2 linked regions of the Macaca mulatta genome follow. The protein of the gene in region 1 interacts with the protein of each later gene in a pairwise test. Links are inferred from orthologs where the notes say so. Each region holds a gene or a part of one and is shown on either strand. Other genes may lie near its edges.

Region 1 (3,562 bases):
GACTAAGAACCCTTGCCAGGCCCCCTCCTCAACCCAGGCCCGGGTAGGATCTCTAAAGCAAGCAAGTTATGGCTAAATGAGCCCCTCTCCCTTATGGGAACAGCCCTGGTCCATACAGCCCTGGCCTCATGCGTAGATGATACCTGAGCTGCTTCTTTAGAAAGAAGCAGCCAATCCATCAGTGTCCTCCTGCTAAGAATTCTAAGCTCCCTGGTTAGATTTGACGTGACTCTTCTTTGGGGAAAAGGTAGAAAGGAAGGGAGCTGAGCAAAGGTCCTTGAGCTCCCTCTAGGGGCCAACAAGTTTTATAAACAAAAATAGAGAGATTTTTGGAATTCACCTGAGGGCTTTCCTAAAACTCTTTAAACTCTAGCATGAGGTTTGGTGAACGATGGCCCATGAACCAAGTCCAGCATACCACCTGATTTTGAATGGCCTGTGACATAAGAATAGTTTTTACATTTTTACTTTTTATTTTTTTCGAGACAGAGTCTCTGCCACCCAGTCTGGAGGGTAGCGGCACAATCTTGGCTCACTGCAACCTCTGCCTCCTGGGTTCAAGTGAGTCTCGTGCCTCAGCCTCCTGAGTAGCTGGGGTTACAGGCACATGCCACCACACCCAGCTAATTTTTGTATTTTTGGTAGAGACGATTTTGGGCCTCCCAAAGTGCTGGGATTACATGTGTGAGCCATTGTGCTCAGCCAGTTTTTACATTTTTAAAATGTTGGAAAAAAAGAAGACTATTTTGTGACACAGGAAAATTTCATTAAAGTTCACATTTCAGTGTCATGAGTGAAGTTTTATTGAAACACAGCCATGTTTGGTAATTTACGTGCTGTCGGTGGCATTTTTGTGCAGGAGCGGTACAGTTGAATGTTTTGTCTGAGACCTCGTGTTATGAATCTACATGATTTATAACTGTTGCTATTGAGCTTGGCTACCTGGCTGAGGTAGTGTTTGTCAGGTTTGTCCACCAAAGAATTTCTCTTTTTTCCTCCTTTCCCTGCTGTCCTTTCTGAAATGAAGTCACTATGAGCAGCCTACACTGAGGAGAGAAGAAGTGCGCTCCCCTATCCTTTTGTTTTTGAAGTTAACATGTTACCTTCTGTGGTTTTCTGAGGGTTTTTGCCATGAGTAACATTAGGAACAACATCAAAAGAAAAGGGTAAAATTAAAACATTATGTCCCTAATGGATTTACTGATGTGGTCCCTGGACAGTGTTGGCCTCTCACTAAACTAGCTTAAGAACCAGGTGCATTCAGTTCTTCTGTTTCTGGTGCCTATTAAGTGCCCATAAAAAATTTTAAGCCCCAGCTGGGCCTGATGGCTCACACCTGTAATCCCAGCACCTTGGGAGGCTGAGGTAGGCAGATTGTTGTGTAAGCCCAGGAGTTTGCGACCAGCCTGGGCAACATGGCAAAACCCTGTCTCTACAAAAAAAATACAAAAATTAGCCAGGTGTGATGGTGCACGCCTGTAGTCCCAGCTACCTGGGGGGGGGGGTGCTGAGGTGGAAGGATTGCTTGAACCCAGGGGTTGAGGCTGCAGTGAGCCATGATCATATCACTGCACTCTAGCCTGGGCAACAGAATGAGACCCTGTCTCAAAAAAAAAAAAAAAAAAAAAAAATAGACTCATTTAAGATTAGAAAGTTAGATTTTCCTTCCCCTTTTTTCACCCTGTACATATTCTGATAGGAAGACCAGCAAGCAGTAGAAATAAACCAGTAAAACCACAGGGAAGCAGAAGTGGGAGAAGCTTCCAAGAGCATCCAGGAGCATCCAAGAGGGCAGTCAGATTTAAAACACAGCTACGTGCTCCCTGATTTTATTCTCCGTTTCAGTCTTATAAAAGTCTAACTGTAGTACTGAGCTTGAATTTTATCTTATAGCAACTGTCAGAAATCCAGAAGTCCAATATGCAGATCAAGTCCAACATAGGCACATTAAAAGATGCACACGAGTTTAAAGAAGACCGTTCTCCATATCCCCAGGATTTCCATAATGTCATGCAGCTTCTTGATAGTCAGGTACGTGCAAGTGGGTGGCAGCTGCAGTGGATGCCTTTCTTTTTCTTAGCGAAGTAATTTACCGTGAGTGCCATCTGCAGAAAAAGTGTGTGTCTTTTTCAGTAACCATGAAGGTGACTAGCTCTTATTTTTCTCCTGCAACATGCCTAAGTCATAAGAGGTGTTTGTTACACGCTTGCTGTTGGCAAATAGCATACACAACAGTTGGCAAAACTGTTTTGTTTCTTCTCTCCATAAAATCAATTTGAATTGGTTAGTATAACCTAGCTATTCATTTTTCATCTTTCAGATGTAGCTTTCAATTTCAAAAGGCGTAGAAGGGCACATTGAAGCACCAGATTTAGTTTTAGAGTTTAAATATACTGCTAATTGTATTTTTAGTAGAAATGGAGTTTCACCATATTGGCCAGGCTGGTTTCCTGACCTCAGGTGATCCACCCACCTTGGCTTAATTAGCTGGACGTGGTTGCAGATGCCTGTAATCCCAGCTACTTGGAGGGCTGAGGCAGGAGAATTGCTTGAACCCAGGAGGCAGAGGTTGCAGTGAGCTGAGATCACAGCATTGCACTCCAGCCTGGGCAACAAGAGTGACACTCAGTCTCAAACAAAATATATATATATATATATATATATGTGTGTGTGTGTGTGTGTGTGTGTGTATATACGTGTGTATGTATATATATACGTGTGTATATGTGTATGTGTATATATACGTGTGTGTATATATATACACACACGCACACACATACACGTATATATACATACACACGTATATATACACACACATATATATGTATACACACACACATACACACACACACACAGCTAACTGGCCAAGATCTCTTACATTTATGAGACAATCACTTTTATTTGGAAGTGAACTTCTGTAATCAGCACAGTCTTTATCATGGCTATTTTGGTCACAGCGGTTTAGGGGAACAATTTTTTTTAAACTAGGAAGAAAATAGAGATGAGAGCTTATGAATTCAGGATTTTTTTAAAAAGCCTGGGTCATTCTAAAAAAGGTAAGTGAACTTTGGAAATCAGGATCACTGCTTCTTGCTTCAGTGCTCACGTCTTTCCTCCCCTACCCAAATCTACCTGCTCCACTGCAGTCAGGCTGACCATGTCCCTGTCCTGTCTGAAGTCCTTCAGTGACCCTTATTCTGGACTTCCCACCAGCTTGCAGGGTCCTTTGGGTTCTGATCCCTGGGACATCTTTCTCTGTTCTTTGCTTTCCTGGCACTCCAGCGGCCCAGCAGCCCATGCCTCTGAGAACATGGCCTTCTGTCTTCTTCCTCAGCTCTGGCTGCCTTCCTGCCTGTCCTGCAGCTCCCAGTTTTCGGGACCTGTCTTTTACTCATTCTTTAGTATTCAGCCAGGGGGGGAGGTACCACTTTCAGAAAGTTCTCCTGAGCCTCTAGGCTATAGCATTTTTGTAGTCCCTAAGTGGGACCTGATCACATACACATTGTATGTGGATTCTCCATGGCTGTGTCTACTCGCCTCCCATCCAGAGCAGGGCCTGTCT
Region 2 (4,149 bases), on another chromosome or scaffold:
CTGGAGTTCCAGGGAGGGGATTACAGATTTCGGTCTATTGCCGCAAAGGGAGGCAGACTGTTCAGATTAATAATTATTAATGGCCGCTGTATGGAAAGCACTGCACAAAAAAAACTAAGATGACCAGTCCTTATCCTTAAGAAATTCAAAATCTAGACGGAATCTCCAAGAAAGAGATTCCAGTAAGAGTACATGGCAAGCTTCCATATCTACACACCACTGACCAATGAATTTGTACTCTTCTCATTGGAGTAGTCGAGGGCCTTTGGCTCAAGGAGGGGTGAAAATTAGCAGGATACTAAATTGGGAATGAGAACTCTCTTTTTAGAGGGCGTGGACTTGCAGAACTCTTTGAAGCAGTAGATGCTATACTGCTCAAACCCCACACGAGAGTAGCTCTCTGGAGTTGCGGAGTCCGAACCTCCCAAGAACTACAAATTTATTCCGCAACTATCAATTACGCGGTTGGGGGCCAGTGAGGCGCCAAGACCCGCCCAGGTGTCCAGTACCTCGCAACGATTGGACGAGCTCAACTCCTCGCCTCCCCCAGGGCTCCCTCGCCCATCAATCACACTGCTTGCTCGCCACCCGACCTTTGCTGCGCCCCCTTTCAGTGGCATAACACCTGGCGCTCTTTCGCGCCCCAGCCCTCCGGCGCCCCACCAATCGCTTCAGTTCCTCACTGGCCAGCAGAGAGGAGAGCGAAGGGAAGGGGCGCTCAATTTTGCTCTCTGAACGCACCCTCTCAAATTTCCCGGTCTTCTCGCAGACGGCCCGGAGAGCAATGACAGCCTGGAGCAGTCGCGCATGAGCGCAAAAGTGCCAGCTGGCGGAGGGGCGCTTCCCCTCCCTCCCAAGAGATTTGCCACATTTGTTGTGACGCAGGGGCACCCCGCTCGCCTTCTTCACTTACGATTGGCTGTGGCCAAAGCCCGTCACACAGCCCGCCCCACTCCTCTGCCTCAAGAGGCCGCACCTCACGCCGTCGCTGCCGCTTAGCCGTGCGATTGGCTAACAAGACTGGCATGCTTTCCCGCCCCCTCCCCCGCCGCCGCACCGAGAGGCGGGCGGGACCCCGCGGAAGTTGTCAGTCAAACTCCTCCCTCCCCACCCCTCGCGAGGCCCCTCCCCGGGCCGCGCGCCCTAGCGCGCGCACACGCGCACACACTCCCCGCTCGTCTGTACCAACCACCTTCTCAAGTTGTAGCGGTCGCTCGCCGGGGGTTCTCCGTGGGCGGCCGACGGGCGCGTGGGGGAGGGGGTTCGGGCCGCCCAGCGCGGCAAGGAGGAGTGTGTGCACGCACCGGGCCGGGGCTACGGGGCAGCGCCCCGGGTGATGAGGGGCCGGCGCTGACCGGGAAGAGTGGGCACAGCGGCAGTGGCTCCGAGGGGACCCGCGATGGCAGCGCCCCGGGAGGAGGCTCCAGGCAGGGCGGGCTACGCCGGCAGCGGCCACTGAGGTGCTGGCCGACCGGCTGGCTGGCGACCGGGGCAGAAGCAACGAGAGGCGCGCTTGGCGCCAGCACCCCGGTGCCCTCGCCTCAGTTGTCTAAACTTCGGGCTCTCTTCCACCCGCCCTGCGCGCCCGGAGTCAACAACTTCTTCACCCCCCTCCGCCCCCGCCCTTCCCTCCGTCAGCCCCGGGAGCTCGCCGCGCGCCGGGGACCAGGAACCTCCGGCGCTGAGATGTGGCCGTGAGGCGTTGGCGGGCGGCGAGGAGAAGCTCGGCGGCGTCCCGGGGCCGGAGGGCCGTGGGGCCGGGGCGCAGGGGCGCGAGCACCCCGCGCCTCTCCCCCGCCTCCTCCTGCCGTCTCCGCCGCTGCCCGTGCCTTGCAAGCAGCAGCCGGAGCTGCCAAGCGCCAGGGCCGCGGAGATGTCGTCGTCGTCGCCGCCGGCGGGGGCTGCCAGCGCCGCCATCTCGGCCTCGGAGAAAGTGGACGGCTTCACCCGGAAATCGGTCCGCAAGGCGCAGAGGCAGAAGCGCTCCCAGGGCTCGTCGCAGTTTCGCAGCCAGGGCAGCCAGGCAGAGCTGCACCCGCTGCCCCAGCTCAAAGGTAACCTCCGAGGGCGCAGCCCCGGGAGCGAGCGCAGGGGCTGGCAACGCTTGCCTCTGCGCAAGCAGAGCCATTTCCTTCTGGGCTTCTCTCAGCTGGGACTCCTAGTGTGTGAGCCGAGTTCCCCACGATGCCTTGGCGTCCCCTCACCCCCTCCTCCTTATTCAAACAGGTTTTCTGTGAAGTCTTGGCTCTTTCCTTCTAATTCTCCACCTGAACTCTTTCCATCCTAGGGGAGGCCAACACCCCTCCCCACCTGCGCGCTTGCTTAACCTGCACTTCCTATTTTGCGTCCCGCGAGGTAGAGCCCTTCACTCTTCTTCCAGGTTTGCCCTTTCCCGGTCTTGCTTTAACAACCGCACGAACCTTCCCCGACCTTCACTTTCCCGAGTGTCAGCTCCTCTGTTCAGCCACTTTTAGCTAGTCCTTTACTTTTACAGTTATAAAGCCGTGTGCACCCACCCTCTTCTCAACTCCACTTCCCATTGATTGCCCCTAAGAGTCATCAAACCAGGAATCCGAATGCAAACATCGGCGAAGAGTTAGCTGGCCTTTGGATGTATTTATAAAGAAAAAGCCTAAAAATTTGACCAGTGTAGTATCTTATTCACTGGATCGTTAGGTTTAAATGGTATCCTGTAGCTCAAAGAACAGAAATATTTAAAATATTCTGTTGTCTGAGATGATACACACGGTCTATTTGGAAATATAAAGAAGTAGGTAGTGTTGCTTTGCAATCGAATGGGAACTTAGTTTGCCAGGCAGTGATTCCAGGGACTTTGTAGGTTTGTACAGGAATTCAAATTGGTATCCGTGCCTAATGCCTTGCAGGAGAACTTGGCACTCTTTTTGGCTCACTTTTCCTACTAGGTTTAGAGGATTTTCGATGTTATTTCCTGGTGTTCTAGTTTATTCTTTGTGTATTACTCAGTATGTTTAATAATGTCCTTGCATTTTATGAGATAGAAATGATGGAACAAGATGATAATGCTCCTACATTTTTAAATAAAATTTGCAACCTGACGGAGATCCATATCATCAGATGTTCAGATTTTTCAATTCATTTGAAAAAGCTACAGCATCTCCTTCAAGGCCAGTCTGGTTCTCATTTGTCTTTGGGCCTGTGAATCCAGCCTTAGTTTGGCAAGGAGTCTAAAGAAAACCCAGATCAAATCACAGCTGACCTACAACAGCTCCAGAACCCTATTGAGACCCTACCTTGCCCTGACTCTTGGAGTGGTTCTAAATCATGACATCTCACCGTTAGAATCAAACTGGCTTTTGAAAAGAGGTTTAGAGATATGATTAGTCTGTGTTATCGAATTTATCATTTGATTGCTCTTTAGCATACAAAAATTGTTAAAATTTACATAGCAAAATGGTAGACTGTAATGATAGGCATTGCCAAGACTTTAATTCTTGAATGATGTCATAGCTATAAAAGAATATCGTCTTTGCTATTCATAGATTTTAAATTTTACACTTATTTAAAATATCATAGTTTTTTTACACTACTGATTTTTTTTCCTCATTAAATTGTCAAACTATGTAGTTTAAAGGTTTCGTGCTAGGGTTATTTCATAGTTATTTAATTTGCTTTTTAGTAAGATATTCTAGTTTCTTAGTATTGTACTTCTTAATAGTATACTTTAATAAAAATAATTGAATATTAAACGTTTGGTTGTTTTCAGGCCAGGAGATGCAGCTTTGATACGTTTTGCTTTTTTTTTTTTATTTTTATTTTTTAAATTTAATTTAATTTAATTTAATTTTTTTGAGACGGAGTTTCACTCTTGTTGCCTGGGCTGGAGTGCAATGGCACGATCTCGGCTCATTGCAACCTGCGCCTCCCGGATTCAAACAATTCTCCTGCCTCAGCCTCCGAACTAATCCCAACTAGCTGGGATTACAGGCATGGGCCACCACGACCCGCTAATTTTGTATTCTTAGTAGAGATGAGGTTTCACCATGTTGGTCAGGCTGGTCTCCAACTTCTGACCTCAGGTGATTGGGCCACCTCAGCCTTCCAAAGTGTTGGGATTACAGGCGTGAGCCAACGCGCCTGGCCACATTTTGCTTTTAAAAACCTGGCAAA

Evidence for each region. The genes of interacting proteins can lie anywhere in the genome.
Region 2: the proteins of DZIP1 (region 1) and PPP2R5A interact in binary tests that used the Homo sapiens proteins (3 or more experiments, as listed by UniProt). The link is inferred for Macaca mulatta from reciprocal best matches to the Homo sapiens genes DZIP1 and PPP2R5A.

What each region holds. Positions count from the first base shown.
Region 1 is NC_133422.1:90,364,495-90,368,056, reverse strand, and holds part of DZIP1 (cilium assembly protein DZIP1), read left to right. Parts: intron 1-1,893; coding exon 1,894-2,031; intron 2,032-3,562. UniProt on the Homo sapiens protein: Molecular adapter that recruits protein complexes required for cilium assembly and function to the cilium basal body.
Region 2 is NC_133406.1:70,022,319-70,026,467, forward strand, and holds the start of PPP2R5A (serine/threonine-protein phosphatase 2A 56 kDa regulatory subunit alpha isoform), read left to right. Parts: upstream 1-1,297; 5' UTR 1,298-1,873; coding exon 1,874-2,054; intron 2,055-4,149. UniProt on the Homo sapiens protein: The B regulatory subunit might modulate substrate selectivity and catalytic activity, and might also direct the localization of the catalytic enzyme to a particular subcellular compartment.